Linked DNA regions of Schizosaccharomyces pombe. The protein of the gene in region 1 interacts with the protein of each later gene in a biochemical or structural test. Each region holds a gene or a part of one and is shown in the gene's direction. Other genes may lie near its edges. The genes, in order: mto2 and mto1.

Evidence for each region.
Region 2: the proteins of mto2 (region 1) and mto1 form a complex in vitro, tested with the Schizosaccharomyces pombe proteins (one study listed by BioGRID).

What each region holds. Positions count from the first base shown.
Region 1 is NC_003423.3:492,615-496,967, forward strand, and holds mto2 (gamma tubulin complex linker Mto2), read left to right. Parts: upstream 1-2,064; 5' UTR 2,065-2,127; coding exon 2,128-3,321; 3' UTR 3,322-3,397; exon of another isoform or gene 3,398-3,514; 3' UTR 3,515-3,809; downstream 3,810-4,353. Other genes in the region: idh2 (isocitrate dehydrogenase (NAD+) subunit 2), read right to left, coding at 1-469, 624-672, 720-866, 970-1,041; dual-specificity MAP kinase phosphatase Pmp1, read left to right, coding at 4,199-4,353.
Region 2 is NC_003421.2:1,679,107-1,685,192, reverse strand, and holds mto1 (gamma tubulin complex linker Mto1), read left to right. Parts: upstream 1-1,921; coding exon 1,922-5,269; 3' UTR 5,270-5,432; downstream 5,433-6,086. Other genes in the region: mug27 (protein kinase Mug27/Slk1), read left to right, coding at 5,757-6,086. UniProt on the Schizosaccharomyces pombe protein: Spindle pole body (SPB) component that acts as the gamma-tubulin complex-binding protein of the SPB outer plaque.

The sequences.
Region 1 (4,353 bases):
AAGATTTCCTCCCTAAGCTCGATATCAGGATATTCAGGTGCAAGCTCCTTGGCGCATTCCAAAAATAAACCGTCAGCCATGCGCATAATGGTAGCCTTGTGGACTACGGTGATGTTGTTCTTGCCAGTTTGGCGAGCATATTGGAATGCATAACGAATAACACGCTCAGATGCTGCGCGAGTAATTAATTTAATCGATTGAACAACGCCTGGTATAACTTCATGCTCGATGCCTGAGTATTCACCCTCAGTGTTCTCACGAATCAAAACGGTATTAACGTTATCATAAGGTGTTTTGTATCCCGTAATAGATACACAGGGACGAACATTGGCAAACAAGCCGAAAGTACGACGCAAAGTAAGGTTCATAGAAACATGACCCTTCCCAATTGGGGTTGCCAATGGACCTTTCAAAGCCACTTTATTTTTCCTAACAGATTCCTTAGCATCATCAGGAATAGTAGTAGTACCTAAACGAATTAGTAAACGTGATTTTCGTGCGCGATAATCTCGAGGAGACATGGAAGGACTTGACAAGCAGGAACAAGCATTGCTGACAAAAACGTATAAAAGAAAGGCCAAACTGCATACAAATCCAACCATCTTCTCTTATACTTGACATACCATTTTTCAAAATAGGATATACTTTTACACGTTCCCATTCGATAGGGACCTACAATACAAGTCGTTAATGACTAAATGACGGATGACTCGACAAACCTTTGCAGCCTTAAATATACGTTCTACAGACTGAGCAATTTCTGGACCAATGCCATCGCCAGCAATCATCGTTACTGTGTAGTTCCCGTTGGCATTCTTTACTCCTTCATATGTCCCAGCGGCAGCCTTCGTTGAAGAAAATCTCTGCTAAAAATAACTCTGTTAATATAATCGATCAAATAATCATGAAAAGACGAGTAAGGCTGCTTAAACCAGCGATTTATCGCTTAGGAGCCAATTCACAACTTACAAAAGAGTAACAGGCGCTTCTTGAAAACGTCCGTAAAGAACCTGCAGTACGTAAAGTAGAAAGCATTGACATTGTTTTTTTATAACTAATGTAGCATGTATGGAGAGTGCAAGATGTCGGACCGTGATATAAACAAAGGATTCCGAGAGTCGTCGCATCATCCTTAATTTGACTTTACCGAATTTTGTGGAGATAGAACGTGGAGTTAAGCAAGGGTAATTGAGTGGAGTTTAACCATTTAGAAAGCCCCTCGAAGCGGAATGAGGAATTGTTATTACATAGCGCTCTTTTTTACTGCATTGTCTATTATTGCGTTATATAGTTTTTAACGATAATTTCAGTAGTACATAATTATTAATGTTGTTTAAAAAACACATCTATTTGGTTCTTGAGGTATATTCAGTAACTAAAGATGTAATTGTCTAAATTGAGAGGATAATTCGACGAATTGGTTTTGCTTGAATTAAAAAAATTGTAATTTTGTAGCTTCACACTGGTGTTATTGATATCTTGACTTTTGTATTGTTCTCAACTGGAAAATTAGTGTTGTCATATACTAGGTGTGCTTTTTTAATTTTTCGGATTATGCTTTATTTTCTCAATTACTCTTCCAAATATATTCATTCATTCAACAAAAAGATGTTTTGCTATTTGTCTTAAATAGTGTAGCATTTTAGAATACGTAGTTCCTATTTCAAACTATCTCAACCATACACTCACTAAAAACAATAACGATTATTGTGTGTTAAAGGCATTTAAAGATTTTTTAGGAATAGTTAAAAAAGCATAGTGACATGTAACGAAGCGTACTGTTTGCCCGCACAGTCGAAGTTGCCGCTTAGAATTAAGCTTCGGTTAATAAAAACTAGCAAGTTATCCTAACGAACTGTGGGAAAAGCTTATTCAGGAAAACTTCGTGGATCCCGTTAAAATACGTTATGATAACTAATAGCGAACTGTCTTGTTGCTGTGTTTTGCAATATTACTTTTAAATAGTATAAGACAGTATGTTAAGTTAGGTTTTCAGAGTGCATACTCTATTCGTTAATTCGTGCTTTCAACTCTTTATCTTTCAAGAGTGCAAGAATCTCTTGCAAATTCGAGCTTGGTCTTGCAACTGTTTATTCTAATCCTCCAGCGTCTTGCTGGTGGTTTCGCATGTCTGAACATAATTACCAGTCTGATAGGGAAGTGGCAGAGGATCCTTTTCTTAATTATGAAGCCTCTGCTAATCAATTATCCTCAAATTCGCGCGAATCTACTCCAAGAGGTTCACCATGGCGCGCTGGTATGAGATCCGCATCTTTAATGACAGAACCTTTAGAAGATTCCATGTATAGCGATAATAATTATTTAGACAATGGGGTCTCTTTTACAAAAGATGAAAATCCTCTTTACTCGCCGTCTTGGCCGAGTTTGGCGGATGCAAACGTGAATTCAATGAAGTCTAATAATGCTATACAGGAGCATAAAGCAGCGAAATTTGTTTCTGAAAAGTCTTTGGAAAAAGTATCGACTGCAGATAATAACCTTGTGCTTCAGGAGCTTGAAAATCTCCGAGAACGCTTAAATCAAGTAGAGCTTCAACTCAGTGAGCGACCCTCTTCCTACTTAGGCTATCATAACAATCTTAGTCCATATCGTTCTCCTAACAGTTACCCTTCTCTTTTACCCTCTACTCATTCACCTCACTCACCGGCGCCGCTAAGCACGATGCAAACGGCTCTTATGCGGCTTCGCACTTATCATCCTTCGCCCATCATTTTAAAGCCCGTAGAGCAAGCTGTAAACCATGCAATCACCTTGGTAAACACCTCTCCATCGAGTGTGGTGGATGCGTTATGCCGAAGCCTTGCCGAATTGTGTCTTGGCTTGGTGCAAGAAGCGATCGATGCATCTATTTTGAGTCAACAGGAAAGCTCAAACTCTTTAGATCTTGTCCGTCATACACCACCATTGAATTATACCAGTTCTGTTGATTCTTCACCACAACGTATGGCCTCTGATAGTTATGGTAGGCCTTCTCTGCATTTAAATGACCCCTTTCCATCAGTTGATCTTCAATCAAATGAACTTTCTCATCATAATGTTAGAACAACTCTCTTTTCTGATGATTCCCGATTTCATTCAAAAATTCATACACATTCTACTCCTCCTTCTCAAATGTATAGTGCTGCATCTCATTTCCGGTACCGTAGCGATCCATCAACCCGTCATGTCTCGAATTCTACAAACAAATCGAGCTTGCATCCATCACCAACGTCTTTGCGAGTTGCTCATCCTATTATCCCCCAGAGGGCGTCTCCAGCATCACAGTCTTTTCCTTCTCTTCAAGACACTCCTTCCCCCTAGTTCGGCCTATTACAAGTTTAATTTTGAATCAATTTTTCTTTGTGTTTATCAAGTAAATCAGGTTCTTCTCATACATGTAAGTTCATACAAACATTGATTGAGGAGTGCTATCATTTAATTTGTCGTCCCTCTCGTACAAGTTTTTATTTTTTTTATATCGCTCATTTCTTTAAGAAGTTGCTAATCCTACTAGGACGTCTATTTTAATGTTATTGGATCTGGCTGCATCTCTATTTGCTGCATTGCTTGCTCAAACTTTATAGTATGAGAACGTCTTAAAATTTGAGGTTTTGTTCATCTTCTCATCAATGCTATTTTTTTAAAATTGATAATTCAGTGCAGATCTTTTCATTATTTAACCATATACGATAATTTAGATTTGGGAAGTGGATGTCTTCTTCGCAAGACGAAATGGTACATTGTGTTTAATTAGCTTTATTTCGCACCTGATTTATAAAATGAATCAGATAATTTAACTCGTTACTGTATTTACTTTTAGTATCTTTCTATATTCAAGTTTACCAACTTGTTAAAATGCGTTACCTCTGTCACCTGTAGAAAAGCATCAAATGCTGTAGCTTGGTAGGAGCTCACAATACTTCCATACATCTTTTCAGTCTATCATCAATTATTAGAACACTGAAAATTTGTATTCTCCAGTTATCTTCTTGCAAGTTAAATATTATAGAGGAAGCTAAGTTGAAATGGTTATTGGTGCCATGAATGTTTGAAGGTAACTCACAAAATGAATTCTGAATCAGCGAAAGAAAATGCAGAAGAGCAAATTGAAACGAAAGGACGTGCATTGAAGTCCTCAACAAATATAGAACGAAAAGAGTCTTCCTTACAACCGCTTCGATCAAAACTTCCTTTGAGAATGTCTCAAAAACTACCTCCCTTAAAAATTTACACCTCCCAACTTCCCCTGGTTTCCCACAAAAATATGTTGGAAAACGAAGAGGAAGCTAGTCATTCACAATTGTTTACTCCGTGTCCTGTCCCTCCATCTTTCCCGAAAGCATCTAAACCCAA
Region 2 (6,086 bases), on another chromosome or scaffold:
TGTAAGCTTTCCGTGGCTAAATGACCTCTGGCAATAATATGGTTTTGGTCGCATAACATGATGCAGTAGCACTAAATGAATTTAGCATAGGGTCGGCATAATCGCATTCAGATAGCTGCTGTCGGACATCATATTTTCAGAGTCAGAACTGTAATGATTGTATATTGGATCGTTATATACCCGCATCATTTATATAAGGTGAATATAGATATATCCTTCATTGAATTTCTATAAGTAAACTCAAATGAACTCCGTTTATGAGTTCATTCGCGAGTTAATTTAAGTGCATTCATAGTAATGTATTACATTATTACAAATATCTTAATACATATTTATAATCATTCATATTGCAATACGCGGGTCATAAAGGTCGCAACTGGGGTATAGTTATTCTGTTATACAGGTTATATTTTTACCTATCACTAATATAGCGTATAACTGATCCTCGTTCTTCATTTCAATTGTGCTTCCATTTGCATTATTCAGATAGTATAGAACTTATTATAATTTCATTAGGAACAATCGTAATATCGTATCATCTATGGTATAATTAGAATATGTAGCATATAGTGATATTCAGCGTTGTGTATCGCAGCGTATGTAATATTGCTGACACCTTAACCGATTTAGCAGAGTACGTAACTGACGAGTTTGAAGCAGTTTTTATGTATTACCATTTTTACTTAATAAAAATTATGTAGAGCGAGTGATGATGCCAAGTTTCTCTTTTATTTTGTAATAATCTATATTAGTAATATTTACATACCTGTCAACTTTTTTTTTCGCAAATTTTTTTAAACAATTTCATGGAATTAATGTTTGAAGAAAACATATCAGATCAATGATCAGCTTGAATAAAAAAAAAAATTGAAAAGAAAAGAAAGTTTTCAACTAGTTGGTTCATTCTAGTAAGTGATGATTGTAATTGATTTAAAAAAAAAAAAAATCCTTCGCTTAATAGAAAGAATGCTTTTCTTTGTTGTATTAAAAAAAATACTGAGTAGTATTAACTTAATTTACTTAGATAAATTAATTTACATATACTTATTTATTTATTATTATTTTTTTTCAGCTGCTCTACATATCTCAAGTTGATGAGTTGTAGAGGACTTTATTTTCGCATTCACTCAATTCAAGTTTCGAACACACTATGCAAATTAAAAATGTTCTCTTAATGAAAAGTATATTTGTTCGTATATTCATAGTTCAATTTACCGTTGCGATTGAAATCATCGAAATGTAGCATCATGTAACACGGTGAAAATAGAGACTGAAACAAATAATTTCAGGCTACATACCAACTATACGTAGGAAAGCAAATTTACGCTTGTTCGTGAAAACCTATGTACTCAAGCATAATCGTAGCGGACTTTAGTGTTTTTAACGTTTATTCCATCAATAATTAATATACTTAGGATTCACAGTGTGAAATGAGGTTAACATACCTTAACTTGAGGAGAGTTAATCTAATGAAAATCATAGTTACGTTTTACATATCATCAATGTATGTACTATTGTTTTGTGTATGTGCCATAGGCATGCCAAATAACATGGCTATTTATAATGTAAACGAGTGTGTGCAAATGTATAATTAATTTCATTAACTTCTTTTGAAAATATCTGCTTCTAACACAAACATTAAACCTTCTAAAATTGTAAAGTCCGCAATTACAAGTCTACTACTTTGTTGATCGTTAGTCTAACATGCGTCAAGTAGAGACAGCCATTGAGAACTACTGCCACTACATATATGCCATAGCGTATCAATAGGCATATCTTCGATCCCATACTTTCTTTTAACAATTAACAATTTAAGAAAGAATTAATTTCTTATTCAAAAATCGCTCCTTTGAAATTGTTACAAGAGTCAATGCCTACTGCTTTGGATTTGCTTATGTCGAAGTTCGTTTTCTAATCAATTATGGAAGAAAATTCCAGTGAGTTAGATAGTAATAACTTTAATGTTCTAGTGGATAATTTAGCTGGTCTTTCGCTGACGGACGAGGAAGTTCGTCGCATTTTATCACCCAGAAAGGAAGGATCTCGGCAATTACCCTCTTCTACATCAAAAGACGAAGATTCGGAAGAAGCTTCTCATAAGTATGATTTTGAAATTGATAGAGATTCTTTAAAATCTGATTCTGGATCACCTCGTCTCCATCAAAATGCTACTGCTCCAACGAGCTCTACTCCGCTTCAATCTCCCGATGAATCAGTCAATAAATTGAATAGCGAGGACGAGGAGGGAAATAGTTCTGTTGCACCTTTTTTTTTGGATACTACGAATTTTGATCGTCTCAATGACAACATTACTACTGATGATGAACAGCTTTCTCCCGTACTTACGGCTAATCAAGGGTTTCAGAGCCAAGAGCAGTATGAAGAAGATAGTTACAATAATTACGATTATACTTCGGACCCTTCAAGTCCGAACTATATCTCTTCTTCTCTAGATCAGTTACCTCATTTGGATGATGAAGATGATTTGCAATTAACCCCAATAAAAGAAGAACGAAATTATTTACATTCTCAAGATGCCCCCACTACCAATGCTTTAAGCAAAAAGATCTCCGATATATTGATACCGGCGTCTGCTATGAAAGACCTAAAAGACAGGAAAAATGCACTTGCCAAAGAGTTTGAGGAATCTCAGCCCGGCTCCTCCTTAACTTTAAAGGAACAAGCAAACGTGATTGATAATTTGAGAAAGGAAGTGTTTGGGTTGAAACTGAAATGCTACTTTCTATACGATCAATTAAATAAATTCCACGATCAGGAGGTTCAAGATATTATGAAGCAAAACATCGATTTGAAGACCCTTACTATGGAGCTTCAACGAGCCGTTGCAGGCTATGAGAAAAAAATATCTGGATTAGAAAGCCGGATTAAGCCTGATCAGTCTTTTAACCTTTCCACCCCCAGCCCGGCCCCTTCAAACCTAATTACTCTTCAATCGAGGTATTCGCAGGCTCTTTCAGAGCTTGAAACTACCAAAAGAGCGTTTGCGGCTTTGAGAAAAGAAAAATCAAAGAAGACGAATTATTCTGTTGGGGCATACAATGAAGATCGTAATGTACTGTCAAATATGCTTGATAACGAACGGCGGGAAAAGGAAGCTCTATTGCAAGAGTTGGAATCCCTTCGCGTACAGTTATCCAAAAAAGTTCCTATGCCTGCAAAAAATACTGATGAGCGTGTTATTGAAACACTTCAGCGTAGTAATGAACTGTTGAGGATGGACATATCTATGCAAAATGAAGCATTACTACTTCGCAAGCAGGAAAATGATCGCCTGGTTAAACAAGTGGAGGAGCTTACCGTTGCTTTGAATTCAGGGAAGATGAATGCGATTGTAGAGGCAGAATCAAGCAAGAATGAATTGTGGGATTCTATGATGGTATCTAGAATGAAAACCCAAGAGCAATCAATTGAACTTACTCGTTTATATAAACAGTTGCAAGATATTGAAGAGGATTATGAAAATAAATTGATGAGAATGGAGCAACAATGGCGGGAAGATGTTGACCAACTCCAGGAATATGTCGAAGAGATTACCCAAGAACTCCAGGATACCAAAGAGGTGCTGTCAAAGTCTTCAAAAGAGTCTGATGATTACGAAGAAGTAGTAGGTAAACTTAGGACTGAAGCAGAGCGTGAAATTGAGAAATTCGAGAAAACAATACGGGAAAATGAGGAGAGTATCTCTTTATTCAAAGAAGAGGTTGAAAAGCTTACTGATGAAATTACCCAATTGTCAGAACGTTATAACGATAAATGCCATGAATTTGACGAATTACAAAAGCGGCTGCAAACTTTGGAAGAAGAAAATAATAAAGCGAAGGAAGATTCAACTTCAAAGACATCAAATCTTCTTGAACAGTTGAAAATGACAGAAGCAGAAGTTGATTCTTTAAGGAAGGAAAATGAAGAAAACAAGCAAGTAATTGCTTTGAAAGAAAGCGAGCTGGTGAAAAGTAACGATAACAAACTTTTACTCAATGAGCAAATTGAGTCGTTAAATGATCAACTTAGTCAGTTAAAAACTGAAATGGAAAGCGTTACAACGAGTAAAGAATCGTTAGCCGATTATCTTAGCAACTTGAAGGAAAGGCACAATGACGAATTAGATTCATTAAATAAAAAACTTCGTGAATTTGAAGGTATATTGTCATCAAACTCTTCTTTAAAAAGTGAGATTGAGGAAAGAAATAATCAATACGTTACCCTTCGCGAAAATTTCGATTCTTTGCAGAATGCTATTATGGAAACATTTGATAAACAGGTCACCCACTGCTCGGTTAACCATTTGGTACAACAGATAAGAAAACTAAAAGATGAGAATAAAAAGGATCAGTCTGGTACTGATAAGTTGATGAAAAAAATCTACCATTGTGAGCAAAGTTTAAAAGAAAAAACAAACTCTTTGGAGACGTTAGTGTCTGAAAAGAAGGAGTTAAAGAACTTACTGGATGCGGAAAGACGATCCAAAAAAGCAATCCAATTAGAGTTGGAAAATTTGTCTTCACAAGCTTTCAGAAGAAACCTCTCTGGATCTTCCAGTCCTTCTGAAAGGAGTCAATCTAGAGAACTTAAACTTTTACAAGCATCTGAAAAACGCCTTAAAGAGCAAGTGGAAGAAAGAAATTCCCTCATAAAAAACATTGTCACTCGTTTTACCCAACTGAATACGGGAAGTAAGCCTGTAAATACCAACGTTGAAGCATTGACGACAATTTCAAGCATGAATCAGGCAGTAAATATGAATTTTAGGGAGTTGGACAAATCCATTCAAGAATTCAAACGGAAGTGTCAATCAATGGAGCGGGAATTTAAGACCGAACTCAGGAAGCTTGATGGTGTACTTGAGGCTAGAAGTAAGCGTTTATCACAGTTGGAAGAACGAGTGAAACTTTTAGGCGCTGGGTCAACTTCATCTATTCCAAATTCGCCAAGGGCTTCAAAACGCGTTAGTTTGGATTCCGAGGATAAAAAGCTTGTTCCCGCTTCTCCAGATAAGTCAGCAGTTCAAAGAGGTATCACAGCTTTGAAACGAGATGCTGAAGGAATGAGCCATATATGGCAGTTGAGACTAAGAGAGATGGAGTTTCAACTCAAGGCTGAGCAAGAAGGTCGTAAAAGAGACAAGTTGGGTGCCAGAGAAAGGCTTCAAGATTTGATTCGACAAAACAGGAGTCTTTCAAGGCAAATAAAAACGGATAAAGAAAGCAATTCTAGGTCTCCTTCTATATCATCACAAGAACATAAATAATAATCTGGATAGTTTGCGGTTGAAGTATATAGCTTTTCTTAATCACCAGTACATATCTACTTAGTTGGAGAATTTAATTGACAAAATAAGCTAATTCCAAGATTTATATTTATTTTTTATTTTTTTTTGTTCTCGATTAACCATTTTGGTGTTTGTATCTCCCTGATTATAAAGGAAATAATCACACATATTCGTAAAAAAAATTTATTTTAATCGCGCAAAAGAATTCGAAATATAATTTTTTATTTAACCTTTTTTAAGTAAATTTTACTGCGCATGTATCATCTTTGTAAAAATTCCCAGAACCCGGTGTTTGTTTACATTTGCTGGGAGAATCGAGTTTTATTCAGGCACAACGTGTACTCAAAATAAATTTCAAAATTGAGCTCACATAAACTTGAATAGGAGCAAAAAAAGGAAAGAATCCATTGCATGGAAAAAGCAATTCACTTGGGACAATTTTATAGAACGATTCCACAAACATAGAATGGACCTACTGGGCCTTAAAGAATTAGACAATAACAAACTAGTATCAAAGGCAAAAGAAAATGGAGTCGAATTTTCTGATTTATTTTTACTATCAAGCGGCTATTTACGAGACAGGGAAAATGCGTCAGCAAGTGTGTCTTCGAAAAATGAACGCATGGTGCTCAACGAAGAAAGACAAAATTGCTGGACGAAAAGAAATGATCCTAAAGGTTTAACTTACTACCAATTACTAAAGCCCAGTGAAGTTGAAATACTTAGTCGACCCGAGACAAGAAGAAAGCGGATGGCCTGTCAAGTTTTCTTCCTCAATTACTATATTAGCACAATT